Diceros bicornis minor: one gene and its partner. The protein of the gene in region 2 interacts with the protein of the main gene of each other region in a pairwise test. Links are inferred from orthologs where the notes say so. Each region holds a gene or a part of one and is shown on either strand. Other genes may lie near its edges.

Region 1 (16,494 bases), on a different chromosome or scaffold from region 2:
CTAAATTCATATAAATTTAGAAATACTCTCTTCTCTAAAATTATAATAGCCCAACCTCCTATTTCTGGGGTGAAGACTTTGGCTAATTATGTTGACGACTACTGATTGCGAAGGATTACCTCCTACTGCGGTTTTTAAATATGTCCACAAATTCTTTTGACAAAAGGGGGAGCCTAACACCTCTCCCCTTGACTGCAGGCTAGAATTCTAAGAAAAGAATGTGGCAGAACTGATTTCTGAAAAAGGTCATAAAAGGCACTACACTTCTACCTCTCTCTTCTCAGATCACTTGCTCTGGCAGATGCAGCTGCCATGTTGCAAAGAAATTCAAGCAGCACCTCCATGGAGTGGTCCACATATGGTAAGGAACTGAGTCCCCCAGACGACAGCCAGCATCAACCTGCAAGCCCAATACCATCTTGGAAGGAGATCTTCCAGCCTTCCAGTCTTCAAACGACTGCAGCCCTGGTCAACACCTTAACTGAAATTTTAAGAAAGACCTGGAAGGAGCCAGAACCACTCAGCTAAACTGCTCCCAAATTTCTGACCCACAGAAACCATGTGAGATAATAAATATTTATTACTTTGTTAAAAAGTCATTAAAAGTATATTTACGTTCACTGAAAACCAAACTAACGTCTTTTACTAGTACGCATATGTAAAGATAAAGATAACTATTCTTGACAATTTTTCAGTTTAAGAGTTTTTAAAAATATATTTACAGGGGCCAGCCCAGCGGCGCAAGTGGTACAGTGTGCGCACTCTGCTGCGGCAGCCCGGGGTTCGCCAGTTCGGATCCTGGGCGCACACCGACGCACCACTTTGCAAGTCATGCTGTGGTGGCATCCCTTATAAAGTGGAGAAAGATGGGCACGGATGTTAGCCCAGGACCAGTCTTCCTCAGCAAAAAAAGAAGAGGATTGGCAGATGTTAGCACAGGGCTGATCTTCCTCACAAAAAAAAAATATATATATATTTATACAAGTTCTGAGTTGCAAAGGAAACACAACCTACTTAACCAAGATTTTAAAACTCTTGTTCTTACTAAAAACAAAAAAAATGAATGGAAAAAACTTTTAAATATGGTTTTAAAAAATGTAATCTGAAAACTGAATTAAAGGGCAGAAAATGAAAGACCAAAAACATTGCACTCATCAAACTGTGAACAGAAAGATGACTCAAGAACAAGAAACTGAGTGGGATATCGTGTACAGAAAGATGCAGAAACTAGCAATTACTTGAAGGGATATAGAGCAAAAGCCTGTAACTATTCTGCTGGGTGGAGCAACTGACAAAAAGGGAAAAAGCAAGCAGGTAAAACTGAAAAAGAGACCCAACCACAAAAGGTTTATCAGTAATGCTAACATTTTGTTTCTCGTGAGGGTCCTGTTGAAAGCAACAGACCTGCTCCCCAGAAAAATACATATAAGCATCCCCAAAATTATTAACTTTGGAAAATTCTCAAACCACTGTCTCCCACGCCCACCTATGCAGCCAAAAAAGAATTCATGTTAGGAACCCCTTAACGTATAAACCATTAAATAGGGGGTGCGGGGGGAGGGGAACGACACATCTCTTTCCAACCTACCCTCCCTGAAAATACCAAATACAAGACCCTAAGGGCTGCTTAAGTAACAAAACCAAGAGCCGTACTTTAGGTAGATTTCTCTGGCCACAGGAGAGACTATGGGGAGAAGAGAACGGAACTGAAGGCAAAGAGATGAGTTAGTAAGTTACTTCTTAGTCAAGGACCAAGCTAGGATTAATAAATGAAACTGGAAATGGGAACACAGGGCATGAATGTGATGCAACTGACGCCATTAACAGAAACAAGAGATAGAATAAATAATTTCAAAGACTATATGATAAATATTTGTTTGATACGTAAAATGTATTACACAGAATCTTAGAAAATTGTAATTAGAATAAAACTTCACATCTATATTATACTTTACAATTAACAAAAAGCCTTCATACACATTATTTCCATCAGTTTTATGAAGAAACTAAAGTCAAAAGAGGTCAGATGAATTTATAAAGCCACATAGGCTCTTTTCCAATATTCCAAACTCGAAACCAAAAATCTCCTAACTCCCATTATTTTTTTTCTACATCACTACCCTTACCTGGACCTAAATTGTTATCTAAACATTCTTATCAAAAATTAAACAGAAAAGGTAATTGGGTCAAAGACAATTAAATAATCTGGCCTGGGTTTAGGTTCGGTCCTCACTTATTAACTTTACTTTCAGAGTAGAGGTTGCCATCCTTATTCCCTTCTCTTGTAAATCTCTAAATTTTACTTTCTTCTCTTTTGCTCACTCCTGTTCTTTCCCTATTATTTCCCTTTCCTGTATTTCCCTATTATTCCTCCCTTCCTCAATTCTAAAGTGTCAGCAGCTTTAAGCACAAAATTCCATGTAGTAATCTCAGTTTAAAAACAGAGAAAAAGTAATACAAAGCTAACATGCATTTAGCTTCATACCCATACAAAGAGGCTGTGGGTGAATGAGATCTGAGTATTACCTGAAACCACATTTTAATTTTTAGCTAACCAAAGTTATTCAAATAGCTACTAACAAATAGCAAAACTGACAGTAGTTTCTCGTCTTTCAGCTTGTCTCCAAACTCCACTAATGATCAATATTAACCAAAGAGAAGTAGTACATGAAAAGAAATAGAAAAATATCAAGAATAATTCTAAAATAAATCAGTTAAAGTATAATCCACAAGAAGACAGTTTAAGTATGGCATATTGATTAAGAGCATGGGGCTCTCAAGTCAGACTTGGAGATTTGGCCAAGACTCCAACATAACCTTGGTCCTAAGTTACCTTTCTCCCAGTCTCAGTCTCCCTAAATCTTAAATTTTCTCACCTATACCACTGTAACTATTAGTGCTTTCCTCATAGGATTATTCTAAGAATTGAGATATACTATGTAAAGCACACAGCAAAATACATGACACAATCATCATCAATAAATATTAGTCATTATGATTATTATTTTTACACCTATAGTTCAGGCATAGGAGGAAAAAAGAAGAAAAAAATGAGAATAAGGGAGATAGGAGAAAAAGAAGTACTTATGGAGGGAAAAGCAGCAGCCCAGCAACTGTTCCAATTACTTTTGGTACTATATATTTCAATGCCAATAAAATAAAATATTTATCAACATGTTCAAGTAAGTAAATTTGTCCTTGAACAATTGCTGTAAACAAAGTTCACAAATGCCAGACTATTCAAGGATTAAAGTTAATTGTTAAGATCCCTAGTCGCTGGAGTAAGCTCTATCCTGATACTACTGCTTGGGTAACAACATCAACAGAAGCAATTTAAAAGAAAATAATCACAAATAAAATATGTTACATGGTTCTTTTCTACGAATAAAGGTCATTCATTTCAACTTCTTGGTCACTTTTAAGATGCATATTCTTAGAAAATGCTCGAAGAGTAACTTGAAAAGCCACTAAATTGAAGAATGCACAAAAATACAGGCTCTCAGAAGCAAAGAGAGGGAGAATGTTCTCGCCACATTTTTATATAAATCAAGGTGGAAATTCAATTACAAATACTACACAAAGGTCTGACAGAGAAAACACAAATAACCTAGTCTATTCTAAGAAAAAAACTATTAAACTCGAATCTCAATTTAGGTCAGAAAATAAATGCTATATATGCATATCTAAATACCTACATTCTTTTGGACTCTACTACCTCTTCTGCTCTAAGTGAGCTAAGAGGATTCAATAGCATAGCAAAAAAAGTTCTGTTTCGAAGCCAATGAGCCACTGACAAGTTATTAGGCCATCTTGGCAAAGCGTTCAAAAATTACAATCTTTTATCTCAGAAAGATAATTAAATGAAATAAACTCTAATTTCAGCTACATTGATCTGCCCACTAATATTAATGGCTTAAAAAATAAATTTTAGTAAATTTCTTAAAAATAAACACTCCTAATGAATGCCTATGATTGACTGAAAAACTAAATGTAGCAACTAATGGTAATTAAACACACCATCAATCCTGAAAAATACAAATATTATTAAAATGTAATTCTCTCACTTGTCAAAAGGGTTTCCATCACAACAATATTCACAATTTTTTTTAAAAAGTTTTCTTTATAAACTTAAGCCAGCACAACCTTCCTAAGAGAAAAAAACTATACTCATTTTTTAAGTTATTTTAAAGGTTCTTAAAGCATCTTGCTCGGTTCCTCTCAGTTTCTGTTCCTAGTAATGATGTGACTTTTGAACTGAGATCTTAAGGAATAATTTGAAATGCAAAACCACTTCAACAAATTGTTTCAAAAACTTAATTTCTATAATGGATTAAAATGTTAGGAACAGTTATGCCTTAAAACAAGCTACTTCATGAAATATCAGATTAAAAATCAAGCCCTGTATCATAATTTGTTTTAAACAAATATTTAACTCTAAATTGGAACACAAACCACATTTAGAATGCAGTCTAAACTCACATTTAGCAAATAAACTGGCTATTGAGACACATGAAATATTTGTTGGGTTTTTTCCTACCTTTCTAGCAATCCCCATTAAGCCTAAGGTGAACACCGACCATATGGATTTTGCTTTTTACTTCAGAAGCACAAACACTTAAATTCAGACTCTTTGATCTGAAATATTCTTAAACCTTAACTCCTTCTGCATTTCAATTTACTTTAATAGTTGTTTTCAGACTGTCCAGGAAACTGAAACCAAGCAATATTACTGCAAGAAACTGAAAGGTTTCCAATAATAAAATAGGATAAACTTGACTCTCATTACAGTTTACAAATGAACATTTGATTTGCTCACCATATAGTACTTACAAATTCCAACAGGACTGCACAGGAAGGTGTTGGGTTTTTCTCCGTAATCTTTACGTTTTCCAGTTTGTTTTTTTATTTTGTATCCTCTGAAATAATATCCAAGTTCTTTGAAGATACTTAACCTATGACTATTTGACATAGAGTTACTTCAAGTCAGCTACCCATACTTGTTTTCAAGTTTTCATATGGCTATCTCCAGAATTAGCCAAGTTCCTTGGATTTAAGATTATAAAGTCTTCTTTATTATTCCATGTACTGGTCACTGTTGTACTTATCCACTCCAGACGAAATATCCAATTTATGAGCCAAAAAGCAAAAACAAAAAGAAAATTTCACATCTGAAGAGCATTCCTAATCAGCATATACAGAGACACATAGCTATCTCAATACTACCATGCTGCTGGGAAACTGCAACATCTTAAATTTCCCCGTAAATAAAAGATAAAAGGAAAAAAACTCTATTCTTTCAATGTCTTCATTTAGAAAAGCTGTCCCATTGTGACATGAAAACGGATGAGGTCAAAAATTCCTAAAACTTTTAATAAAGGTAAAAATAAACTGCCATGAAACTTCAGCAATATTTAAAGAGTAATCTGAAACTGCCGAAACTACTCAGTACACAAATCAAACATATCTTACAGTTTTGGCTGAAGAACACCAACAACAGGGGAGAGGGTTGGGGGGAAAGGCAAAAATACCACCAGCTGAAACACTTTAACCAGTTATATAATCCGTTTGAACCAAAATACTGAAGAAATGCCTGGATCTCTTTTTAAGTAGCTTGCAGAATTGTTCACTACTATCAATTCACTTCAGAGATGATTCTTGCCAATTTTAATAAACTTCTGGGGCAAAATTATCCAAAAACATTGTAATTCCAAAATGGCCACTTGAAATATCCGGGGCCTTTTACACAAAACCTAGAAGATGATCTTCATATCTGAGTAATTCAATCACCTGTAAAAGTTATAAAAAAAAAAAAAAAAAGAACTTAAATTACATACTGAGTTTTAATTTTGAGCTAAACATTAAACCCCATCTTAAAGAGTCAACCTCTGGAGAGAAATTCTATACAATTCTACTGGGGTCTAGAAAAAGGCTATGCCCAAGCAAACACCCCAAAAAAGTCCACCGTATGAAAACGACTTAAGAACAGAGAGAAAAAAAGGTGGGAGATGATGTTATGGAGGGCAAATACTGATTTCAACTGGGAAGGGGGTGCGGAGATAACACTGAAGATTACATAAGCAAACCTTCCCATACTTTTTGAATAAATATTAAAACTATGAAGCTGGCATACAATCTTACAACAGATCTCTATTTTCCACTCGATGTACCAAAGGAAAAAGAACAGACAGGTGTGGTGCCACTAAGCATTAGTATATGCAACTTAGAGAACGAGGAATATAGAGAAGACGCTCTCTCCAAATCAGAAGGTGTAAAAGAGGCACATTTTCCCCACTAAGGGTAGAAAAGGAGGGGGAAGAGAAGTGGGGCGAGAACATTCCTTAAATTCACCACAGGGTGAGACTTCCCCGGCTTCCGACGGCAGCAGTGGGATAAAGCTGTCGGTTCCCATTTCCTTGAATCAAGAAAACAGGTTTCTCCCGACACTGAGGGGGTGGAAGGTATAGAGCCCTTGCGTAAACCACGTAAGTGGGGTTCTCTCCCCAAACAGAACGGGTCTCCTGAGACCCCAAAGGGCTCGGAGGGACAAGGTAGCACTCGACTCAGTCCACAGCTAGTGCCACGGACCTGGGAGAGGCGGGGAGAGCGGGCGCGCTGCTCAAGAAACCACCGAAGGCCACAACTCGGCCTCGACTCCCTCAGCCCTCTGAGAGGCAGTGGTGCAAAAGGAGGCGGGTGTGCGCGAGAGGCCGGAGGAAGGAAGAGCGAGCCCCGAGAGCGTCGGACCCGCTCCCAGCCTCCGCCAAACACCTCCCCCCGGCCGCCAAGGCGAAGCCACGCACCCCCTCCCCACAACCGCCACCTCCGCTGCACCGGGGCCGAGTCAATACCCAGAGGGGCCTCCCCGCGCCGTCCTTCTAGCTCTCGCCTTGCTCTCCGCCCCCCCCCCCCCGGTCCGCAGGCAGCTTCACACCTCGCGCCGCCAACGCCGCTCCCGACCCCTCAAACCCCCACGCCGACACGGGCACCCCCCTCCTCCCCCAGACTCTGGCGCGGAGCACAGAGGCCGGTGTTACCTTCTGCCACACCAGAGGTGCCCCTGGCCTGGGGGTGCCACTGCGCTCGATCACAGGAGGAGGTTTTCGGTACTTTGAATAATCCCCTTTTGCCGCTTTTCCCTCCCCCACAACCAGTCTCAGTCCCAAAATGGCGCCGACCCGATCCGCAATGTTCTGAGCCAAGTCTCGCGAGATCGTGGAAGGTGGCGAGGCGGGGAAGGAACTAGAGGGGTTGAGGAGAAGGGAGGGGAAAGGCGGGGCGACGAGAAGGAGGGAGAAAGGGTGTGGAAAAAGCGCTGCGAACGAACCTACTGGGCGGGGCAGCAGGAGCGCCTCTACCAGAGAACCTTCTGGCCCAAGCAACCGCTCACGCCTCGGCCAAGGAAGCTCCGCCCTCTACGTCGGGCGTCTGGGGGAAGGGAAGAGGGCGTGGCTATGCCTTGGGGCGGGGCTTCGAGGAGGCCCCATACGCAGGGGCGCGCGGGGGGCGGTGGCGCCGCGCGGTGACGTCAGGAGCAGCTGGAGTCGGGGATTACCCCCTGCTGCTGACGTGAGGACGCCGAACAATCGGGAACGTTCGGTGGAAGGGGGAATTCCCCGCTGCTCCCTGAGGAGCCCCCTTCTCCCCCCGCCCCCCCACCGCGCCGGGCCGTCCCGGAACCTGGGCTGGTGGGGCCGCCGGGAGGGCGAGAAGGGAATGTTGCTCCTGGAGGCGGCAGCGCGGGCTGAGTGGCGCGCGCGGCGGCGTCTTCCCCGGCTGGAAGCTGGAAAGGGCCGCGGCGCGCGCCACTCGCCGCGTAGGGCGCTCGGGCCTGGGCGGATGGGAGATCACATGCTCGGCTGTACACAGCCGTGCGCGGGCGGAGCTACGGCTGTGTCGGCGCAGGGCTAATTGGACGCCCTGAAGCAATGGATCCGCCGTCGTATGCAAATACGAGACTGTGTCCGTCCTAAATAATGTATACGGCAGGCAGTGGCTGAGCGTGCGAGGTTCGCTCATGGGGAACTAAGCCCAGATTCTCAAAGGGTAAAAATGGCTACTGGATATAGTCGTGCTAATTATCATTTTTCTTTCTACTAAATCCACGATAGGTGAGAGTTATTTCAACAGTGTCTCGGTCCTACACAGCCCATGAGATTTATTCTAATGAATTTTGTGGTAGTCACAGTTCTCTAATTTCGATACCTTTTCGCCTTATAACTGAAGGCTTACTTTGAAACCTAGGAAATGAGCCTTCCAGGAAGAAAAAAAGCAACCTTATGTGCTGAGGGGGAATGTGGGGGGAGGGTGTCTTAAGGAGGGAAAATCCAGAGAATAAAAAGTACTTGGCTCTTTGCCCTCCCTCCAAGCGACAACGGCTTCCTACACAGAAACTTTATGGTTCTTTTATATGCATTATGGGGTTTGTAGTTTAATGAGCTGCTTCTAAAAGCTCCCTGAAAGAATGTTTAAATGTAAACGCACCAAAAATTACACCTCCCAGTCTTTTATTTTAGTCTTCATAGGGAAGATGGACATTTGGCCGTTAATAATGCCTCGCTGAGTACAAAGAAAAGGAATTAACACTTGCTGGATGCCTTGTCTGTGTCAGGCATTTAACCCTTATATCAGCGGCTGAAGTGGGTGCTATTTATGTCGCTTTGCAGATGAGGAAACTGGTTCAGGTTAAGTAACATGCTTAAGGTTACACAACATGGAAGTTGGGTGCCACAACTCGGCTGTACCAGACTTAAGTTGCATCCATAAGCAACTTATGTATTGGGACAGGACCTGCTTCTATTTCTAAACATGATGTCAGTTCAAAAAACAAAGAAAATATTGATAATTTGAAAATATTGATAATTTAAATTGTGCCTTTCATATGGCAAAAGACTTTATAAAGTTGAAAAACAAATAGTGAAATGGAGAAACAATTGTAATGTATGACAAACAGGTTATTTAATTATATATGCTCGGTTACTATCCTTAGTATCTAATAATGTTTGATTTACATAATAAGTGTAGCAAGAGCTCTCCCAAATCCTTAAGGAGAAGATAACCATACCAACTCTTAACAAGTCAAAGGGCATGAACAAGCTAGTCATGTATGTATCAGTAATGATTTGAAAAGATGTTCTACCTCACGAGAAATTAGAAAAAAATGGAAATAAAACTAACAGTGAGATATCACTTTTTACCTAACAGATTGGCAAAGATTTAGAAAGAATAAAACCTAGATGAAGGCATAAGGAATAGACATTTGCATTAGCCATATCAAGAATCAAAATCTGTACAGCCTTTCTGAAAGGTAATATGGCTTTTGTTTAGAAAAGCCTTAAAATAAGATACCCTTTGCCTGGCTATTCTATGTCTTAGAATTTATTTTAGTAAGATAATAGGAAAGGTAACCAACAATTTATAAAGATATTCATTGATAAATTGCTTATAACTACAAAAAAATTGGAAACAATCTAAATGCCTATAAATAAAGACATTGAGTAAATTATGGTACATCCATAGGTGGAATGTGAAGCCATTAAAAATGGCTTCTTTGTAAAAATAATGATCATATGAAAAGATGTTCACAACATACCATTAAGAAAAATGAGGTGAGTTACAAAGTTGTCTGTATAATGTCCCACTTTTTGTCAAATAAAAAAGTATATATCAAAGGACAAATTCTGACGGAATAGACACAGAAATGTTAACAATGCTTCTTTTTAGGTGGCAGAATAATAGAGGATGTTTATTTTATTCCTTATACCTGTTAAGGGCCTAGGTAACTTTTCTAATCATTAAAAAAAAACCTAATTAAAAAATTAAATACAGAGCCGGCCCTGTGGCTTAGCGGTTAAGTTCGCGCGCACAGGTACTGGCGGCCTGGGTTGGTACCCTGGGCACACACCGTCGCACCACTTCTCTGGCTATGCTGAGGCCACGTCCCACATACAGCAACTAGAAGGATGTGCAACTATGACATACAACTATCTACTGGGGCTTTGGGGGAAAAAAAGGAGGATTGGCAATAGATGTTGGCTCAGAGCCGGTCTTCCTCAGCAAAAAGAGGAGGATTAGCACGGATGTTAGCTCAGGGCTGATCTTCCTCACAAAAAAAAAAATTAAATACAAGAACTTGTCTCCAACCAGTAACATGTTTTTCATTATTTTATTTTATTAATTTAGTGAAATCTAAACAAAGAATTTATCACATAATAGATTTATTTTAATTTATTAATGAACATCACATTACAGTAGTTTAAGAGAACATTTTTTTAGTCAGGCTCTATACAAGAAGTTTTAATTAAAGTTTGATAATTCTCTCAATGATTTTATAGGTATTAACCACAAAGAGATTAAGTAACTTGCTCCAAAATAATGTTAGCCCAAGTATACAATGATGTATAAACAAAGGTGTTCATTTCGAACTTATTTATAATAGTGAAAACCAAATAACCTAAATGTCTACCAACCGAGTGCTGGTTAAAAAATTCAGGTACATCCATATAACAGAATACTGTACAGCTATTAAAAAAGAATAAGGTAGACCAATATATACTGACATGGAAAGATGTTCAATATGTTTTGTTAAGAGATAAAAGTATGTGACAAAACAATATACATAGAATCATCATCATTTATTTTTTAAGTGTGTGTATTTATACAGAAATAGACAATGCCTAAAGAATAACTAATATTCATGAAATCAGGATTTGTTGTTTTATTCCCTGCTGTACTATTTGAATATACTATTTTATAATAATTTAATGTTTAAAATTTAATTGCCGGGGCCGGCCTGGTGGTGCAAGCGGGTAAGTGCGCACATCTGCTGCTGTGGCCCGGGGTTCACCGGTTCGGATCCCGGGCGCGCACCGACGCACCGCTTGGCAAGCCATGCCGTGGCGGCGTCCCATATAAAGTGGAGGAAGATGGGCATGGATGTTAGCCCAGGGCCAGTCTTCCTCAGCAAAAGGAGGAGGATTGGCAGATGTTAGCTCAGGGTGGATCTTCCTCACAAAAAAAAAAAAAAAATTGCCCAAAAATCAGCAACAATTGAAGAGCAAAGTATTTGTGTAAGAAATCTTGAATCTTTTAAAACTACATCCAATGTCCCTTTTCTGTGTTCCCATTGTACAACCCTGTGTTTACCTCTATGATTAATTATCTACCCATTTCTGCCTCTACCTTGGTCCTGGAAAGGTACCCAAGACCTTCCTTATGATTCCTCCTACACTTATTACACTAGATCATAATTGCCAATTTTTTTACTTGTCTCTACCACTGGACTCAAATTTCCTTGAAAACATCGACTATGTCTTATTCATATTTATTCATAGCAGCTAGTACAGTTTCAGCCACGGTTATTTGTTAAATGCATGACTCCACCTTTAGTCTTTGTTTTAGCCACACGCTACCTGCAGTTCTCAGAATTTCCCTTGTTCTTTAACAATCTGTGCAAATATTATTCCCTTGAGCTAGATTGCCTTTCTTCTCCTCACTCTCTACTTTGCAAATTCTTGTTTCTTATCCCTAGAGACTCTGTTGAAATAACACTCAGGTAAACAATGATCAGGTAAAGCTCCGAAATTCCTTCTCTGGACTCATGGATTTACACTCACTTTTATCACTATTCTCCTTGGTGTCCCCCTTTCTAGACGATGAGACCCTGGTCAGAGACACTGTTCTATTCATCTCCTGCCCCTAAAACAATGCTCAGCTCGTTGAAGATGCTCAATAAGTATGACTGGATGGATGGATGACTGAAGCATCCAGAGCCCACTCAGCTCCTGTTCCCGTGCGCCAGCACAGCCTGACCACTCTCTGAGGACTGGCAGGTGCAGAGGTCCTCTCGTTCTCTATTCACTGCCACTTGTGGTCCTGCTGTTGCACTCTGGAGGTTCACAGACAATCTGAGTTGAGGCTCAGATATGTCACTTGGAGAAAATCAGAAGCTCACACAGGCTTTCTCCTCGGTATAATCAAAAATGTTTGCATGCTCCTCTTTCTTCCTGCCAAGTCTCACAGTTTTGTGCTGATCCATTTAGCAAGTCCCTCTCTTCAGTGGGTTTTGTCAGGGGAGAGCCCATGCCCGTTTTGTTCACTGCTGTGTCCCCAGCACCTGGCACAATGCTGGGCACAGAGTAGGCACTCCATAAATACTACCTGGATGAATGAAGGACTGGCTAATGAAAATAAAAACATTTTGAAGAAAAATGTTTCAGGAACAACCCTGCTCTACAAGAAGTAAACTTTTTTTTTAATAAAAAAATGTTATATAACAAATGAAAAATGATAGAGTATAATTTTAACTGAAAAGATCTGTGTCATCCTTAATCATGATGGCACCTAATGATGAATTTGATCAATAAATTTGGCATTCATTAATTTCATTTTTTTTTTTTTTTTGGTGAGGAAGTTTAGCCCTGAGCTAACATCCCTTGCCAATCCTCCTCTTTTTGCTGAGGAAGATTGGCCCTGGGCTAACATCCGTGCCCATCTTCCTCTACTTTATGTGCGACACTGCCTCAGCATGGTTTGACAAGCAGTGCATCGGTCCACGCCCAGGATCAGAACCTGCGAACCCCAGGCCGCCAAAGCGGAGTGCGTGAACTTAACTGCTATACCACCAAAGCGGAGTGCGTGAACTTAACTGCTATACCACCAGGCCTGCCCCTAATTTCAATTTTTTAAGTATAAAAGTAGTATATACTTGCAGAAAGCTTGACAGATACAGAAGAGTATAAACAAATGAAAATTATCTATAATCCACCACCCAGAAATAGTCGCTCTTAAATGTTAATGTATTCTTCTCAAGTATTCTTTGCATGTTATATCTTTGTGTCATAGTGTATAGAGCTTTGTATCCATTTTTTATTTCATATGTTCTAAAATTCCCCATATTTTTAAAATTGTTCATTTTGTCTGTGTTCCATTTTAAGGTTAACATAACATCTGATTTCTTAATTTAAAACATTTTATACTAATCCTATGATCTCTTTAACACAATAAGGATGGTTAGTATTTTTAAGCCACTTTTCTAACCTGCTTTCCACTAGAGAAAGTTCTTGATCCTATTAAAGTTTGCTCAGTTTAATCCATGATTATAAATTTAAATTTACCAAGCATTTTCTCCCTTTGGATGAGTTTTTAAATTGTACCTAGAACTAATTACTAGAAAATTGACCACTGTTTGTGTGTGTGTGAGGAAAATCAGCCCTGAGCTAACATCCATGCCAATCCTCCTCTTTTTGCTGAGGAAGACTGGCCCTCAGCTAACGTCTGTGCCAATCTTCCTCTACTTTATGTGGGACGCCGCCACAGCATGGCCTGACAAGCGGTGCATCGTTGTGCGCCCAGGATCTGAACCCAGGCCATCAGCAGTGGAGCGCACGCACTTAACCGCTACGCCACGGGGCAGGACCCAGAAAATTGACAGCTTTTTAATCAAAACAGATAGGTGGGATGACAAATATTCCCCCTGGCTCCAGTTATGAGTGGCTCAGTTTCCCTGACTGGCACCTCCACCTCTCTGCCCCTTCCGCTGTACAAGGAGGTATAGAGGAACACCATTAGCAGGAGCACAATTACCGACAAAAACTTTTAAATGTTCTCTCCAATATGTGACTTCCAAAACACAGCCCCTTGTTGCATGGCATTTATAATTTTAAGCCTACAGCAGGCGTATAAATATGTAAATTGTTGTGGATAAAGTGAAGAATACATTTTGTAGTGTTTTAAAAAGATTTGTGGTCTATTTCAAGATATTGAGTCTTCTATCATCTCTGAAAAAAAGACTACAAGGAACCTTGGAGATGTAATTGCCCCCTTCACCTTGTTACAGACTGGGTAATGTGAGGGAGAAATGGAGTCCAGAGCTGGGCTACTTTGCTACCTCTTGATTCTCAGTCCAATAAACATGTGGGACACTGCTTAGGAATATACTCTGTGGTGGGATTTCCCTAGTATTTATCCTCTTAGGTTTCCAAGTTCAATTTGGGATAGCATCCTTCACTTTTGCATCTCAATACCCATTTTATGAAAGGAAATCTATCATTTACTCTAGAAACTTGATTGAATCAGTAGCTTTCCTGTGCAACTGAGTAGCAACTCTCCCAAACCATTCTACTTAAATGCATTAATGCCTCTCATCACACTGAGCCTAATTGTTTAATGAGCATATAGGAATACAGACAGAAACTAAATGGCATGACCAAAAGCCAATCAAAGTTTATCAGATGTGGATGTAAAACTGAAGATTTCTCATTTTGATACCTAATATTAAGCCTTTAAGTTTCAGAATTAGAGTAATCATAGATCACTTCTACTTTACTGAGACTAGAAGCTGTGTTCCCACTAAACTAAAGCTCTAACTAAAACAGCTTTTGTTAAAATTCATAGGAATTAAAATGGTAATGGTTTATGTTATGAGAACATCTTGGATTATATTTCCACCTTTTTCTTCCTTTTTATTTTGAAAATAATACAAGCTTGTTATAAAAAAGCTCAAGCAATACAAAAGTATATAAATTAAAGTACTACTATACCTCCAGAGTTAAGCTTTTGTGAACAGTTTGTTGTGATACTTCTAGATTTTTTCCTATGCATACATGTGTCACACACACACATATATTTTAATAAAATTGGTCTATAGATACTATTATGAAATTTATTTTTTCAACTTAGTAATATATGGACATCTTTCCATGTCAGTACACTTAGTGATAACTTGTTATTTTTAAGAATTGCATAATAATCCATTGGAAGAATTTACCTTATCTCATTTAACCAGCGTCTGATGGAAAGATGGTTAGGTTTTATCTAATTTTTCCTCCCATAAACCATATGGTAATGAATGTTTCTGAGTTTTGTGTGTTTGGAAAGGAAGGAGAGGGAAGTGGTGAAAAATTATGGTAATATGCCAGTGGGTAAATCATTGAGCCAAGGATGGTAGTTTAAAAGGAAGATCTGGCAAAGCCGGCCCAGTGGCATAGTGGTTAAGTTCGCGCACTCTGCTTTGGCAGCCCGGGGTTCACTGGTTCGGATCGTGGGCATGGACCTACTCACCACTCATCAAGCCATGCTAAGGTGGCGTCCCACATAGAACAGCTACAACTCTACAACCATGATACACAACTATATACTGGGGCTTTGGGAAGAAAAAAGAAAAAGAGGAAGACTGGCAGCAGTTGTAAGTGCAGGGCCAATCTTCCTCAAAAAAATAAAATAAAATAAAAATAAATAAATAAAAGGAAGATTTGGCAAAATAACATTGAGCACCTATGATGAACCAGGTCCTAGTTAGATGTGAGCCATGTTGCCATTTTTCTTAACAGTGTTACTGTTATTACTTTAATAGACTCAGATTAATCTAGATTCCACATAGTAGTAGAAGGAACATGGGCTTTGGAGTTAGATGGACCTGGGCTTGAATCCTAGCTCAGTGCAATTCAGATTTATTTTCTATTAGGCGCTGTTGCTGTGCTATCTGTTGAGGAGACAGAAATGATTAAGACACAATCCGGCTTCCAGATTCTTACAGCCTAAGGGATGAAGCTGACATAATATCTATTTTGTTCACTGCTGTATCCTCCAATGTCTAGAACAGGGCATAGTAGTGGTAACCACTCAATATTAATATCTGTCGAGGGCTGGCCCTGTGGCTTAGCAGTTAAGTGCACGCGCTCCGCTACTGGTGGCCCGGGTTCGGATCCTGGGCGTGCACCAATGCACCGCTTCTCCGGCCATGCTGAGCCCGCGTCCCACATACAGCAACTAGAAGGATGTGCAACGGTGACATACAACTATCTTCTGGAGCTTTGTGAAAAAAAAAAAAAAGGAGGAGGATTGGCAATAGATGTTAGCTCAGAGCTGGTCTTCCTCAGCAAAAAGAGGAGGATTAGCACGGATGTTAGCTCAGGGCTGATCTTCCTCACAAAAAAAAAATCTGTCGAGTGAATGAATATCAAGACTTTGTGTCAAGTGCAATGTTAGAGCCATGCACAGAGTGCTGTGAGGTGGCTTTCCAAGAAGCCTTTAAAAAACTGTCTAACGAGTTGAACAGAATTCTAGGAGGGAAGGGCCTTCCTTTTAAAAGCTGTTGCCTAACCAGAGGCGCAAGGATGAAAATAAGCCAAAGCAATGCACCTCCAAAGATGCGAAAAGAAGCCACTGCCACCACACAGGCTGCTGGGAACCATGAGAGACAGCTAAAGAACAAGGCAGAGACCACATCACAAGGGCTTTGACTCTGTGCTAGGGAGATTAGGTGTTTATCCTGAAGGCTTTGGAGAGTCTTTTATTTTCAGCAAGAGAGAGACATGATTGGATTCATGCTTTACAAAGAGTCTTCTTGCGATCCTCTGGAGAAGCGATTAGGAAAATGAAACTTCAGGAAGAGAAAGAAGCTAAAAGGCTATTGCGGTAATCCAGGTGAATGATGGTGGCTGAGACTGCCCTGGACACCTTTTGGTTTCTCTTACACACCGTGATTCTCCATGATTC
Region 2 (15,463 bases):
CGTCCTGACCTCCCTCTGGAGGCATGTCCAGCTTGCAGCCCACGCCCAGGACTTCGACAGGCTGGTGGACCTCGTCACCACAGACGACATATACCCCTCGCTGGCCCCGGCGGGCCTCGACTTGCGCCGGGCCCTGGGCCGCTCTGTCTTTGGCCGCTCCAGCCAGGGCGAACAGCAGTCGGCTGGCCACTACTCGCTGCAGGTGGACTGGTACACGTGGGTGACCTCGCCCATCCGCAGGTACCTGGATGTGGTGCTGCAGCGGCAGATCCTGCTGGCACTGGGCCAGGGGGGCGCCACCTACTCTGCCAGGGACATCGACGGGCTCTGCCAGGATTTCAGCCACCAGCACGTGAGCGCCCAGAGGTACCAGCGCCGAGCCCGCAGCCTGCACCTGGCCGCGCGGCTCAAGGCCCAGCCCCAGGACAAGCTGGGCTTCGTGGTGGATGTGGAGGCAGGCGCCCGCTGCTTCAAGCTGCTCTTCCCCGCCAACCACGAGACCCTGCCTGACCCCTGCCCCATCTACTACCGCTCCCTGCAGCTGGCTGAGCACCCCCACAACTCGCCGGGCCGGCCAGGCCTGCGGCTTTCGTGGCGGCGCCGCATCTACCCGGTGCAGGTGAACGGGCCGTGCCCCCCACTGCCTGGCGCCCTGCTCGACATGCATACCCGGCCCGTCGACGCTGCGCTGTGGCAGCAGCTGCTAGAGCTGCTGGAGGAGGAGCGGTGGCCTGAGGCGGCCGCCCTGGTGCAGGCGCGGGGTGCTGCAGAGCCCCGGCCACGGGAGCTGGGGCGGGTGTGGCGGAGCCGCTGCGGCCACTTCGTGGAGGTGGCCCGGGAGCTGACCAGCGGGGACACGCTGCAGGTGCAGCTCGGCGCCACCCTGCAGCGAGGGCTGCTGGCACCAGCTCTGCAGCTGTGGACGGTGGCGCCTGGCCTCAGCCTCTGCCTAGAGCACGCGGAGCGGCCAGGCGACTGCTTCTCGGGCCACGTGCCCCAGGCAGGGCGGGACCGGTGCCATGACGTGGACGAGTACTCCCGCGTGTGGGAGCCGTTCTGCTCCCTGGAGTCGGCCACCAGCGCGGTTGCCGAGAACGACTCCATCACGCTGCAGCACGTGGGCGTATCCTGGGCCGAGGAGCGGACACCGCAGGGGCAGCTGCAGGGCACCTTCCGCCTGGAGGCCGCCTTCCTCCGGGAGCACTGCATCGACATCAGCCTCAGCCACTGCTACCTCTGCATCCGGCTCGAGGGGCTGCCGGCCGTGCCCAACGCAGGGGGCCTGCAGCCCTCGGCCAGCCCTGGCCAGCCTCCCCCGGCCACCCCACCCTGTGGGCCCAGCAACCTCGGCCCCCTCCTGAGCATCGACCCTGACACCTACACCTGGGTGGCCCACGGGCTGACAGAGGACTGGGACCCAAAGGAGGGCAAGGCAGACCGCCAGGAGGCCCCCAAGCAGGTGCACTTCTTCATCCACCACACAGCCATGGAGAAGGTTCCAGAAGAGGTGCTGAGGCCTGGCACCCGATTCACCATTGAGATGCTGCCCAAGCAGCTTCCTGACCTGTGCGTGGCTTCCACGGGGTGAAAGCCAGGGAGAGGCTGGTGGGCAGGGTGGGGTGAGGACTCCCTGGGCCCCTTTCTGGGGGGTGGCTCTTGGGGCAGTGGCTGCTCCCCTGGGAGAGTCCTGTCGACATTCCAGTGTCCGTCTTCACCTCCCCTGCCCCCAGCCGCAAGGAAGAAGCTGTGCGTGAGCTGAAGGACGCGTCCCCGCTGGCCATCAGCATCGCCCTAGGCCAGCCCATCCCCCTGCCCCGCCCCCCTCCTTGCCAGCAGCCCCTCAGAAGAGGTAGGTGGGGGCCCTCCCGCTCCCCCCCCCGCCTTCATCCTGCCCCAGCCCCGCCCTGCACTGGTGCTCAGGGAGGCCTGGCCCCTTCCTCAGGGACCCCCCACCGGTTCCTGGAGCGGCAGACCTTCGACATCCCCGGAAGCCGCCACAAGCTGAACCCCAGCCAGAATGGGGCCGTCAGGGAGGCTCTGAAGAAGCAGTTCACAGTCATCCAGGGCCCACCAGGTGGGCCCACGTTGGGGGAGATGCATGCTGCCGGGGCAGGTGGGCGGGGCTCCGTTCACCCCATTCTCTGCCCGCAGGCACGGGGAAGACGGTGGTGGCTCTCCACATTGTGTTCTGGCTTCACAAGGCAAATGAGGAGCAGGCGCCAGCCTGTGGTGGGGAGAAGCGGCTGGGGGGCCCCTGCATCCTGTACTGCGGCCCCTCCAACAAGTCGGTGGACGTCCTGGCAGGTGTGCTTGGCCGGCCACTCGAGGCTCTGCCTGGGGCTGGTGGGCCCAGGGGACAGTCACTCACGCCCCAACTGCCCCCAGGGATGCTCCTGAGCAGGAAAGAAGAGCTGCAGCCCCTTCGCGTGTACGGCGAGCAGGCCGAGGCCACCGAGTTCCCAGTGCCGGGTGTGGGCAGCAGGGGTCCACCTAAGAATACCCCTCGGGAGGGGAGGCCGAACCAGACTCTCAGGTGTGTCTCTCCTCTTCACTGTCTGTCTGTCTGTGTTTGGGTGGAGAGGAGGGGCCTGATGGTCCTGCCTTGGGACAACACAGGGCTTCATGGAGGTGTCCCCCCCAGGAGCATCACCCTGCACCACCGGATCCGGCAGCCTTCCAACCCCTATGCCCCAGACCTCAAGGCGTTCGACGCCCGGCTGCAGAAAGGGGAACTGTTCTCCAAGGACGACCTCAGTTGGTAAGGGGCTGGGGCCGTGGAGCTGTCTCCTGGCGAGGGGTCCTTGGGTGACCAGACGGCATCCCCACACAGGTACAGGAGGGTCCTGGGCAAGGCGAGGAGGTTCGAGCTGGACCGGCACAGGGTCATCCTGTGCACGTGCTCCTGTGCAGCTTCGGTCGCCCTCAAGAGCCTGGACGTCCGGCAGATCCTCGTGGACGAGGCGGGCATGGCCACAGAGCCCGAGACCCTCATCCCCCTGGTGAACTTCTTGACGGCTGAGAAGGTGAGCGAGGCGGGTGGTGAGCTGGTGACCTGGGCGGGGGTCACTGGGTGTGGCCTCCCCCTGGGAGTGCATGGAGGGCAGCGTTGTGGCGGGGCAGTGACGATGGCGGGGCTGGGTGCCCCTGGTCTGAGGGTAGCAGGACCACGCTGGCCTGTCCCCCCAGGTGGTTCTTCTTGGGGACCATAAACAGCTGCGGCCTGTGGTCAAGAATGAGCAGCTGCAGAACCTGGGTCTGGACCGGTCTCTCTTCGAGAGGTACCACAGAGATGCCTACATGCTGGATACGCAGTACCGCATGGTAAGCAGTCCCGGCCTCAGCTCCTTCGGCCAAGGTGTGGTCTGTGGCCCACTCCCCTACCTCCTACGTCCACCCGGGCCTTGTCCTGGGGCCAGAGCAGCTGCCAGTGGGAGCTCTTGGCCCGAGGGCGCGTGGGTGGGTGGCCTGCCCCCGCTCATGTCCCTGTCCTGCAGCACAAGGACATCTGTACCTTCCCCTCCATGGAGTTCTACAAGAGCAAGCTGAAGACCTGGCAGGGCCTGAGGAGGTCGCCCAGCATCCTGGGCCATGCCGGCAAGGAGAGCTGCTCTGTCATCTTTGGCCACATGCAGGGCCATGAGCAGAGCCTGCTGGTGTCCACGGACGAAGGGAATGAGAACTCCAAGGCCAACCAGGAGGAGGTGGCAGAGGTGGTGAGTGTTAGCAAGGCGCTCTCTGGTGCCTTTTGGTCAAGGAGGGCTTCCTGGGGGAGGAGGCAGAGGAGACGAGGGAACAGGTGAGGCCCTGGTGCCCAGGGACCTGGTTTCAGCTGCACCCCCTCGGTCCCTCAGGTTCGCATCGCCAAACAGCTGACCTTGGGCAGGACAGTGGAACCCAAGGACATCGCCATCCTCACGCCCTACAATGCACAGGCCACAGAGATCAGCAAGAGCCTCGTGCAAGAGGGCATCACGGGAGTGACCGTGTGCTCCATCACCAAGAGCCAGGGTGAGGCTGGGGACAGGGGGCACGTGGGCCGGTGGGCAGGGGGCATGGTGAGCACAGCGGGCAGGGGCGTCACCATGCCTGCCCGGCCCCCCAGGGAGCGAGTGGCGCTATGTGCTGGTGAGCACCGTCCGCACGTGCCCAGAGAGTGACCTGGACCAGCGGCCGACTAAGGGCTGGCTTAAGAAGTTCCTGGGCTTCGTGGTGGACCCCAACCAAGTGAATGTAGCCATCACCCGGGCCCAGGAGGGCCTCTGCATCATCGGTGAGGCTTCCTGGTGGGCGAGGGCTGGGGTGGGCTCCTCCCTAGGGGCGGGGCTGCCTGGTAGGGGAGGGCTGGGGTGGGCTCCTTCCTGGGGGCGGGGCTGCCTGGTAGGGGAGGGCTGGGGTGGGCTCCTCCCTGGGGGCGGGGCTTCTTGGTGGGCGAGGGCTGTAGGCGACCACTGACTCCTGCCCCTGGCAGGAGACCACCTCCTTCTGCAGTGCTGCCCTCTCTGGCGTCGACTCCTGGACTTCTGTGAGGCCCAGCAGAGCCTTGTGCCCGCCGGCCAGGTGCGGGTCCGGAGGAGACCAGCCATGTCCTTCTGAAGATCCCTACCTGCCTGCTGCCCTCAAGCTGCCAGGATTGTGAAGAAACGCCCCAGGCCCTCCTGGGCTGGCCAGCCTGGTGGGCCCCACTCAGCGGAATCCCATGTGCCTTAGTGGTCACTGCCAGCCACCATCTGGCCACCTGCGCCTGGCTGCCTGGGCAGGGGTCTCGGCGGCCGGCCGTGGTGGTGCACAATAACCAAGTTCCTGAGTCCTGGCTTCTCCCCAGGGGGGAGCAGGCCAGGCAGCACCCTGCCGTTGTACATAACCTTGGAGGAGACCCCACGCTCCCTGCTGAGCTGATTTTGCTGGGACACTTGGTGACAGGGAGCATTTTAGGGGTGGGGGCATCCTCTGGACCAGCACAACACCTTCCCTGGGAAGGTTTGGGGTCAGGAAGGAAATCCCCTTGGGGCTACTCGTTGGTCTTTGCATACCATCCCCAACTGCAGTGGGTTTGGTCAGGAATTCAGCTTTATTTTCTATTTTTAAATAAACCAAAAACCAGTGTCTTTTTTACTGGAACAAGGTCCTCAGCCCAAACTCAGGGCAAAGAGGCCTCCCTGGGAGAGAGCCTTTTCTCTGTCACCACTGCCCCGTCTAACTGGGACCCACAGCCTGTGTCCTTCAGGGACCACTGCCCCGGCAGGGGAAGGGCAGACCCGAAGCAGAGGCCCACCAGCCTTGCCTGGACCTGCCCCTCCGGAACGTGCTGGGTGGTGCAGTACTCCTGCGGGCGTGTGGGTGGGGGCCCCTGGACGGCGTCTGTGCTTCCACCCTGAGCTCTGCATCTGCCTTGTTCACTCAGGCCTGCTCCCAGGTCAGGGCCTTTGGAACACCCTGCCCAGGCGTGTCTTTCTTTGCAGGGTTGAGGACCTTCACCTGCCCCTCAGGGCGCATTTGTGTCCTACCGTCTCTGGAAACCTGTCCCCTCGATGTCTGTCCCCACCCCACCTACCCTGAGGCAGCTCTGACTCTGGAAAACAGAGCCCTTGACTCAGTGCCATTCCACTGTCCTTGTGGCTTTGAGTTGCTGCAAAGAAGTCGTTAACGCCAGGAGGGGCTTGCCCCACCTGTGGCCCCCTCTGTGAGGGGTGAGGGGGTGTCTATGTATCTGTCTGATTCTGATGTTTTCTACAAATCAAATTTCTACATTCCAATTTTTGTATCTTTTCTTGGACTATGTTATATGATCGAATATTAATTTTATTATAAAGACCACTCTGAATGCTTTTCTCACTTCTGGGTGTTTTGAGGTCTGACTGGATTGCAAAAAGGGGTGGTCCCTCCTCTTGCTTTGGGTTGCAAAGTGGCTGTTGAGGCTATCAAGAGCCAAGAGCCCAGAGCCCATCGTAGCTGGATGCTGGACGAGGGAGCACGTGGAGAGGGGCCCGCGTCATCCATTTTACAGCTGACGACACAGCCAACAGGCCGAGGGTTGTCTGTGCCCAGATAAAGGAAGCTGGGGGTTGGGGGCAACTTGGCAAGGAAGGTCCACAGTGGGTGAGCTGTGCCCAGGTGCTGCAGGCCACTCAGCCCACTGAACTCTGACCTCAGGCTCCAAAGTCTCCAGGCTGAGGCCTTGACAGCATCCTGCGAGGTCTCTGCTCTGAAATTACTCCCCAGGACCCTTGCGCAGCACACAGCCCTCCAGGCCGACCTGGGCTAGTCAGAATTCAGCCTGTTTGTGGCTGGTTCTCCAGAGCCTCCAACAGCACCAGCTGTCCAGAGGGAGGCACGGCAGGCCCCTGGCCTCCCTAAGTGCCAGCACAGGTGTCAGGTGGGTTGGGAGCTCACAGAGAGACAGACAGAAGTTGTAAGGAAAGGGGCCTGTGCACCCCGCGTGCGCAGCACCTGGGAGAGCACGTCTATTCTAGGGCAGCCACGAAAGCGTGGAGAAATTTTACCATATCTGGCGAAAAGCGCTTGAATAGAAGACTAGCAGGCGCCCGGAGGCAGGGAGCCGGGACCTCATCAGCCTAGTCAGGAAGGACTTCCGGAGGAAGGGGCGTTGAAGCCCTGAGGACGCGCGGCGGCGGCGGGAAGCCGGGCTGGACTGCGGTCGCACAGCTGCGCGCAGAAGTGGCACGAGGCGGGCCGCTGGCAGAGGGCTAGGCCTCGTCGCAATGAGGGTCGCAATTTTAAGTCAGTCCGTGTGCGAGGGGCGGGGCGCGGCAGGTGAGCTGCGGCGGGTGAGGGGCGGGACCAAATCTGCGCCCCCGCCTCAAGGGCCGCACCGGGAGGGCGCCGCGGAGTGGCTCACAGCCGGGGAGCTGCAGCGGTGCCGCCGCGAGGCCGGTCTCTGGGCAGTTGTCCTCCGAGTAGGGGCGCGAGGCCAGGCTGGGGGCGGGAGGAGCAAGGAGGGAAGAAGTCCCCCAGCCCGTGCACCCACATGTGCCTCCCTTGGTGAACCCGCACTCCATGCTGTCCTCTGTGGGTGGGATCTGTATGACCCAGCACAAACCCCGATCCTGGATCCCCTGGCAGCTCCCGCCCATCCCCTCCACAGCCCTCTCTGCTCTGCACCACACCCCACTCCTCTAGTCGTTCCCTAAGAAGGTGATGACTCTGCCTGGGACCCCTGGGAGGGCTCCATCCTGCCAGACATCCAGGAGGCAGGCTCAGCCACATGGTGCCACAGAGTGTGTGACACAGTCTGGCCTCACCCCTGGATGGCACGCAGGAGCACACAGTGGGTCAGCGGTGGGAGAGGCCTGGGAGGGGAGCCCCTACCCAGGCTGAGCCCACCCCAACCCTGCAGAGCACACTGTCCCTAGCTGGGGGAGGGGCTGGGCCTTTCTGACAGAGTTGGGGACCCCTCTCTCACCAGGCCACTTCTCCATCAGTTCTCCCGGCTCCAGATCACCCTGCCCTGCCATGCCTTATCTTCTCAGAGGGCCGGCGGTCCTAGTGACCACCATGGGGTGCGTGTGGTGGTGGACGGGGAGCTGGTCACCAGTGCCAGTGGGGGGTGGCGCTGGGCTGAGTCAGGAAAACACTCATGTGGCTGTTGCCACCTTTAAGACGTAAGTAGGTTCATTTCTCAAATTGTGTATGTGAGTTTATACTCCTCTGTATTAGTGGATAAATAGCAGGAAATCATCTCTCGGAAGGTGTGGTCGGGGGTGGGCCTGGCCTGCCCAGCCGACTTGGGGTGGGCCCCTTGGTGGGCCCCGGCCGGGTCTGCAGGGTGAGGCTGTCCCGCCAGGGCTCGTACACCAGCGTGTAGCTCTCTGCTCTCTTGACCGTGAACTTGTAGGCGCGGTTGGGCAGCAGGTTGCGGATGTCGAAGGTGCAGGCAGCCACGGGGATGAGGCCACACTGCGTGCACTCCTGCTGCGTCCGCGGATCCAGCAGCTTGAAGCGCAGCTCAAACTGCTCTGGCGCCGCAGGCTGGATGGTGACAAACCAGCGCAAGCTGACCCAGTCCTGGTAGGCCACCGACTCCTTGCGGTCGAACATGACGGGCATCTTGGTGCTCAGCATGAGGCGGATGTGCGGGATCTTGGTGGCGCCAATGTCGGACACCAGACGGTGCTTGAGGTGCAGGCACCCGGGCACCATCATGGCCAGGAAGCTGTCCATGACGGCCGACAGCTCTGCCAGTCGCCGCTCCACCAGTCCCCAGCCTGTCAGGAAGGGCTGCGGGTCGGGCGACTCGAGCAGGGCGTCCAGCTCGGCGCGGCCGCAGTCCAGCTGCTCCAGCAGGTGCCCCAGCAGCAGGAGCTGGATCTTGGTCTGGGCGGTGCCCACCTTCTTCATGCGCTGGAACTTCCAGGGGTCGATGAGCTGGAACATGGCGCTGGGCAGCACCAGCGGGTTCTGGTCGCCCAGGGCCAGCTGCTTGGGGAGGATCTCGACGTAGTAGGAGCACTTCCTGAGCAGCTCCACGCGGGCATGGTGGCGCCGGAGCAGGTGGGGGCTCAGGTCCGAGCTCAGGAACTCCCGCAGCGCGTTGCGGCGTTCCACGTAGGTCCTCCACGCCTGCGGGTCCAGCAGCTGCCCGTCCTCAGCCTCCTCCGCCTCCTCTTGGTCCAGGGGGGACTGCGGACTGTCCAGCTTCATCCTGTCGAGGCCCAGGCCCGTCACCTGGGAGCTCATCGTCTGGGGCGGGGCGGAGGGCACGGCGTGAGCTGCAACAGTCAGGCCGGCCTCGGCACCCTCCCAGGACTCACGTGGAGCAGTGTTTGTGTGGGGGTGACTGCCCCAACACAGGGCCCTCTGTCCTCCCTGGGCGAGGAGGAGCTTGTGGGGGGTGCACCTCTCTCTGGGAAGGGGCTGCAGATCTGGACAGAGTGGACACTGAAGGGCAAACACTCTACTGACTGCTGCTTGTGATGACACAGGCAGGGCTGAGACAGTGGCTCTGGGACCAGAATGGCCTGGGCAGAAACCCCAGCCACTGACCAGCTGGGTGGCCCGGCAAGACCTCAGTTCCTCGTCTGAAATGGGGTGACCATATTCCCTTGGGGCTGTTGAGAGGATTCAGTGTGACCCTGCTGAGCAGCACTAGTCCCCTTGGGGGGGACCCTCCACGCCCCACCGCAGGTGCAAAGCAGAGGGCAGGGCTCACCCAAAGACAAGGCCAGTTGGTGGCCTGGGCCAGAGCAGAAGGCAGGGTGGCCCCAGGCCTCAGCTCTGAGGAATAATCATGCCAGCTCCTAGTGACTGAGCCCCTGCTGTGTGCTGGGGGCCTCAAGGGCCTTGATGAGCTCACTGAGTCCACAAGAAAATCCTCATGAAGTGGTAAGATTCTGTCACTCCGCGTCACAGATGGGCGCCGGGCTACAACGCTTGGCAGCTTGCTCTTAATCCAGGGTTTGAGCCCAGCCATCAACCCCAGAGCCTGACTCTCCTGCACCCCACCTCCCAACCAGGGGTTCCCAGCTCTGCGTGTCAGTGGGAGCGGGCTAGTGCACCCCAGCTGTGGTCCCAAGCCCAGCAGAGGCAGGCCACAAGGCCTGGCCCTGGAAGCTGGGGCTCCTTGGAGAAGGGGCCATCATCCCTGGCTGCTGTCCCAGGTCTCAGCCACCCAGAAGGAGGTGGGACAGACCCTGGTGCTGGTGGGACATCCCCAGCAACCCAAGGGCTGGATGAATGACAGATGACAGCTGAGAGCTTGAGTGACTTGCCCAAGGCTGCACTGCCACGTGGCAGAGTAAGGTTGGGACCCAAGTCTGCCTCCCTCCCCAAAGGCCAGCCTCTGACCTTCCTGGCGCAGAGGAGCCAGACCAGCCCCTGGCACAGCAGAGAGGATATCTGGGGTGAGGCACAAGCAGAGACCAGGACCCCAGGACTCCTAGCCTAAGTCCTGCTCTGGCCGGAGGCGGGGGCAGATTCAAACCGCCTCCGGAGGGAACTCTTGCTCCTGGGGCTGGCCACGGGTCAGGGATGTTTCCAGCCGCCAACAGTCTCCCAAGTTGGAAAACCGCAGAGGGGCTGGTCGTGAACTCCGGGGAAGGGGCCGCTCCGCTCCCTGGCGGCCCTACCCAGACCTACACCCCCTAGCCCCGCCCAGGCCTTCCCCTCACCCCCAGGCCCACCTCCCTGAGACCCGCCCCCTTCCCCGCCCGCCTCCCCGGGCCCGCGCCCGGCCTGCCGCGCGCGCTTGCCTTGCCTCGCGGAGCGGGCGGAGCCGTGCGGCCACTGTGCGCAGAGCCGCGGGCGCCCAGGCTCGCGCCGCGACCTCCAGCGGGTTGCCACGGGGACCGCGGGCCTTTGTGACGCCCTGCGGGGCCCGGGGGTGGGGGTGTGGGGAGACCCCGCCCGTCGGACCCCCTCGACTGGAGGGGTTGTGGGAAGGCGGCGTGGGCGCGCTCTCCGGTTCCAGGACCCCGCCGGAAGGAACCGCTCGTCTCAGCCGAGTCCTCGGCCCCGGACCCCGGACCCCAGGCTCAGCTTGGACGGAACCGTCTGGAGGCTTCGCCCCGCGCCCTGACCTGGGAACCACCGCAGGTGGCGGGTCCGAAAGCCAGGCTCGAAGTAGGGTTCCGCCGAGAGGCGTAGACAGGCCGCCGCCCTCTGCGCGGGGGACCCTGTCCCGGGGTCGTTCTGTGGCCACAGCGCTCCCTCGGCGGGGACTTATGGGCTCGGTTACCGGGAAGGGGCTCCTGCTCCAACCTCCGCCCGAGCGCCGCCCCGGGAACCCCACGGAGGACCCGGGGAGAGAGGCTGTGACTGCGAGAACTGGCAGGTGGGTGCGGCTCGTCGCCCCAGCGGACGGCAGAGCAGGGAGAGGAGTGGCCTCCTCTGCCCCCGCAGGCTTCCTCTGCCCAGGCGGAGGCCACTAATCTGGGTCTGGACCAGTGGGGTCTCCACAGCTCCAGGGAGCCCCTCGGAGGAGTTCTCAGCCCCTTGAGGCCCAATGGTAACTCAGCCCCTTGAGGCCCAATGGTAACCCCCAGCTGGGACATCTGGGCGCTCTCTACCAGTCTGGGGTGTCCCACTGTTATGAGAGGTTCGGGGATTCGATCGGAGACGTAGAGAAACTTTCCACTCCAAACAAATGGACTGAAGGTACATTTTATTATATAGAGGATAGTAAAGGCGATAGTCCGCAAACAGATCCGAATAGGTCAAATAATAAGAGGGAAAAGACACCAGCTCGACTGGAAAGGGAAAACATCCACATCGGCTGAGACAGCAGCAGATCTGAATAGGTCATATAATAAGAGGGAAAAACATCAGATCCATCGGAAAGGGAAACACCAGATCCACTGAAGGGAAATGACACAAATCGACTGGAAAGAGAAACACCAGGTTGACCGAAAAGAGAACACATCAGATCAATTACTTCACAGTAAATCAATTACTCACAACATCCACTCCCCACTGCCGGGAGAGTCCTGTCAATCGACACGGCTGGGCGGGAATCACACGTCCTGGGCAGGGCGTCCCTTCCACAGGTGGAACTCTCACCGGGTCTCAGTCCCAGCAGTTTATATAAGCAGTTACAGAGTTTACAGAGCAAGCATCCAGTGTTCCCATGCACAAATGGTTATCAGTGGTGTACGTGCACTGAGCCCCTTGGCTAACGTCCCAGCCCAGTAATTGTGTACGTGCATTGTTCTCTTTGGTTATCACCTTAGACGGGCACAGATGGCCAGTCCATCCCGTGCTACGTCGCTCCGAGAGCCTTGAAATGTTACAACTTGCAACTCTCTCCGTGGGAGAAGGGCCAGTTCCCACCACGCAGAAAGCAGCTTTTATATTTCTTTTTGTGCTGGTGGCTGTAGGTCAATGGAGCGGCCAAACATGGCTGTGCTCATGTCAAGACACCCACCGGCAGTGGTCAGTCTCAGACAGCCCAAGGCACTCCTTGCTCCACCTGGGGACGCTCCTTGCCACCCTCGTCTCCGCCCCTCAGAGGTCGTGGTGGGGCCCCTTCCAGTGTACTTGTCTGTCCCTGAGCTCCCCTCCCAGTCTGTTCTGTGGCCAGAGGCTCCCCCACTGCACTCCCGCCCCTCCGGGTGACTCCACCCCTGATTCGGCATCCATCAGCCTGTCCTCAGGTCCAGGCCTGGGTGTGGAGGACCCTGGAGGCGGGGCCTGGGGAGCTGGCGGTGGCCAGTCTGCCCTCCTCTCCCTGAGGGGCTATAACTCAGTGAAGGCTGGCTGTTGTCAGGGTTGTTATTGAGGGGTTTGAGGGACAAGAGCTGGATTATTTGGAAAGGGGGGTGCTATCTGAAGGTGGAAGGGGGAGGCTGGCACCTGGAAAGGGGGGAGACGATGGAAAGCAGCAGGAGGCAACCCCCAGCCTTGCAGCCCACCCACAGGGGGAGTGGGGTAGAGCAGCCCTCCCCTCCTCTTCTGATCCAAGCTGTCCTGGACCTCTGCCATCTCTTTGGGCCCACCCTCTTTTTTTTTCCTATTTCTCATTCCTCGCTAATTTTTTAAAATTAAACTTGTAATTTTGAGATAACTGTAGATTCACATGCAGTTGTAAGAAATAACACAGAGATGCCATGTGCCGGTCACCCAGTTTCCTCCAGTGGAAACACCTTGCAGAACTGAGGACAAGATCACACCAGGACAGTGACCTCAACACATCCCCATGGGACCCCTATGTTGCCTTTCCTAGCCACACCCACTTCTCTCCCGCCCCCAGCCCCTCCTTAGCCACTGGCGAGCCCTAATCTCTTCTCCATCTCTGTAATGGTGCCCTCTTAAGAATCCCGTGTAAATGGAGCCATACGGGTGCAGCCTTTGGGAACTGGCTCCTTTGCTCTTAGGCTGTGCATCACTAGTCTTTCCTTTCATCTATTAAAAGAGAAAATTCAAATGGGGCCTGCTGGTGGCGTAGTGGTTAAGTTCGCACGCTCTGCTTCAGCAGCCTGGGGTTTGCAGTTTCAGATCCTGGACGTAGACCTATGCACTGCTTATCTAGCCATGCTGTGGCAGGCGCCCCACATATAAAGTAGAGGAAGATGGGCACCGAAGTTAGCCCTGTGCCAATCATCCTCAGGAAAAAAAAAAAATTAATGGACTAAATTCGAAGATCTAATCGGCTTTATGAATCAGCCGGCATCGCATCTTGCAAGCAGAGATGCTCCAGGGGTTACACGACATGGAAGCCTTCTCTAGTAAGAAGGGCAGGACAAGGAAAAGAAGTCAGCAGCAAGGAAAAAATGGAAGCTCACTGGAGGAAACGAAAAATTCAGGTGATGACAGCCCGGCGGCTTCTCATTGGCTGAGCTGCAGCATTTCCCATTGGCTGAGCTGTGGCGTGTCTGATTGGCTGAGCTGCAGCATTTCCCACTGGCTGAGCTGCGGCGTGTCTGATTGGCTGAGCTGCGGCATTTCCCATTGGCTGAGCTGCGGCATGTCTGATTGGCTGAGCTGCAGCATTTCCTATTGGCCACACTTGTTGCTGGGCAAGAAGGAGAGCTTTTTCCCCCTGCAAGCGCTTCCCGTTTGCAAGTACAAGGTCTCTCTTCCTGTCCGGGTCTGTAATTGACGCCCCACTGTTTGGGGCAGTTGACCGCAGTGTGAGAGCTCCGCTACAGGCCTTCCCGACTTAGTGCTAACATCGCCGAGACGTTCTGTTTTCTGTCTTGTCCGATCCTGTCTGCAGCCACCAGGCTGTGCTGTCCCTTAGTGGGCCCAGCGGTGCTGCGCCCTGAGGCTGGTGAGCCTGCTGGTCGTGAGGTCACAGCCGTGGGGGAGGGGGTGCCCCACGACCATGGAGCCCCCAAACTGTGCCCTCCAGACACATGACCCCAGGGGTGGTGGTGCCGGGCTGCCAGCCTCAGCCTGAATGCCTGGGAAGCCGCCTCCTTGGCCCAGGCGACCTGGCCCAAAGCCTCACTGTGCCCCTGCAGGCTCAGTGCTCTTACAGCCGGGGGATCCAGGCAGATGCGGTCAGCACCTTCCCGAGGGCATATGGCCAGTGAGCCTGAGAGCAGGAGTCCAACTCCGTCATCTGACCTGTGGAAGTTAAGAAAGAAACCTGGGCTAAGTCGGAGTGGGGGAGGCCTGCAGGGGGAGCTCTCACCCCTCTCTTGTCCTCAATTACTCCAAACAGGAGACAGACTTGATCTCCAACAGGAAGTACAACTACTTTACTGGAAGGAAGATTTCTCTCCCCACCCAGCAACAGCCCAGCCAATCAGACACAACGCAGCTCAGCCAATGAGAAACGCCGCAGCTCAGCCAATCAGACATGCTGGAGCTCAGCCAATCAGACAGGCTGCAGCCCAGCCCATCAGGCAGGCTGCAGCTCAGCCAATGAGAAGCCATTGCTGCCCTGATCTGTCACTCTCTCCCAATGGACTTTCCTTCAGAACAGCCCCCCCCCCTTTCTCTATAAAAGCAGCTCCCTCTTTTCTTTTGGGGATTTGCTTATGGTTCACTGTATCGTGGGCATCCTGAATTGCAATTCTTTTGCCTATTTCTGAATAAACACATTCTGAGATAAAATAACAGGCAAATTTGCTTTTTAAGTGGACAGACCCCATCCAGAGCTGTCCTTCTCCGGGGGTCCTCCCCCTCACTCACACACCCTGGAACATTTCCCCTCACCCCCACCCCCTCCAGCATGGACTCAGTGCCTAGGGCCCATGGAGGAGGTGAGGCTAATAGGGGTGAGTGGCAAAGTCAGAGGAGGGGCTGTCCTGGGGGCGGGGCAAGAGTCACGTGGCTGGAAGCTGGTGTGTCAGGTGGATGAGGTGAAGAAGGGGACAGTGTGGGCCAGATCCTGCAGGTCAAGGAAACATGAATCACAGTGCAGGCAGCTGGGCCTGCAGGGGCCGAGGACTCAGAGAGCCGACGACTGGAGGGACAAAACCAGCTCTTGCCGCCCCCAGTAACCAACACCAGGTGTGTGCGGTGCAAGGACAACAGGGGAAAGTTGAATGAGGAGAGGTGACCTGGGGGTTTGTGGGGTGGAGGGGGACAGAGGAGGGCCCAGGCAGGGCGGTGGCCGAGTGTGGGGTGCTCCCTGCAGAGCCTTCTGCACTGGGCAGATGAGGAGGAGCATCTCTCCCTCTGGGGCCTTCTTTGGACTCTCTGTCCTGGTCACCCGGAGATGGGCCAGGCGTTCTTTGTGAGCTGGGTCCCCACTGCCCAGCACAGGTTCCTGCTAGAAAATGTCCCTGCTGTGACCGCGAGGAGCGATAGACAGAACTCTGTTTCCTCATCTGGAGGAGGAGGAAGACCCCGCCTGGCCGGGGTCTTTGTCTGTAGCAGTGGCAGGGTGGGCAGCCCTCTGTGCTCTGTCCACTGATTCACTCTCTGGGCTTTTCTTTAGGCTGACAGGAGGCCTGGGGGCCAGTCCGGGGGACCGAGGAGGGTCCCTCCCTGCCTGCCCTGACTGCCAGAGGGAATGTGCTGAGTCCCAGAGACCGAGACCCTGTGGCTTTGAGGGACCAAG

The links.
Region 1: the proteins of FNDC11 (region 2) and GPBP1 interact in binary tests that used the Homo sapiens proteins (3 or more experiments, as listed by UniProt). The link is inferred for Diceros bicornis minor from reciprocal best matches to the Homo sapiens genes FNDC11 and GPBP1.

Annotation. Positions count from the first base shown.
Region 1 is NC_080759.1:18,846,470-18,862,963, forward strand, and holds the start of GPBP1 (vasculin), read right to left. Parts: upstream 7,545-16,494; 5' UTR 7,325-7,544; intron 7,294-7,324; exon of another isoform or gene 7,035-7,293; intron 5,788-7,034; 5' UTR 4,831-5,787; exon of another isoform or gene 4,817-4,830; intron 1-4,816. UniProt on the Homo sapiens protein: Functions as a GC-rich promoter-specific transactivating transcription factor.
Region 2 is NC_080758.1:639,766-655,228, forward strand, and holds FNDC11 (fibronectin type III domain-containing protein 11), read right to left. Parts: upstream 8,728-15,463; 5' UTR 8,695-8,727; coding exon 7,693-8,694; downstream 1-7,692. Other genes in the region: HELZ2 (helicase with zinc finger domain 2), read left to right, coding at 1-1,566, 1,731-2,074, 2,152-2,304, 2,386-2,533, 2,642-2,758, 2,831-3,023, 3,187-3,321, 3,495-3,713 and 3 more.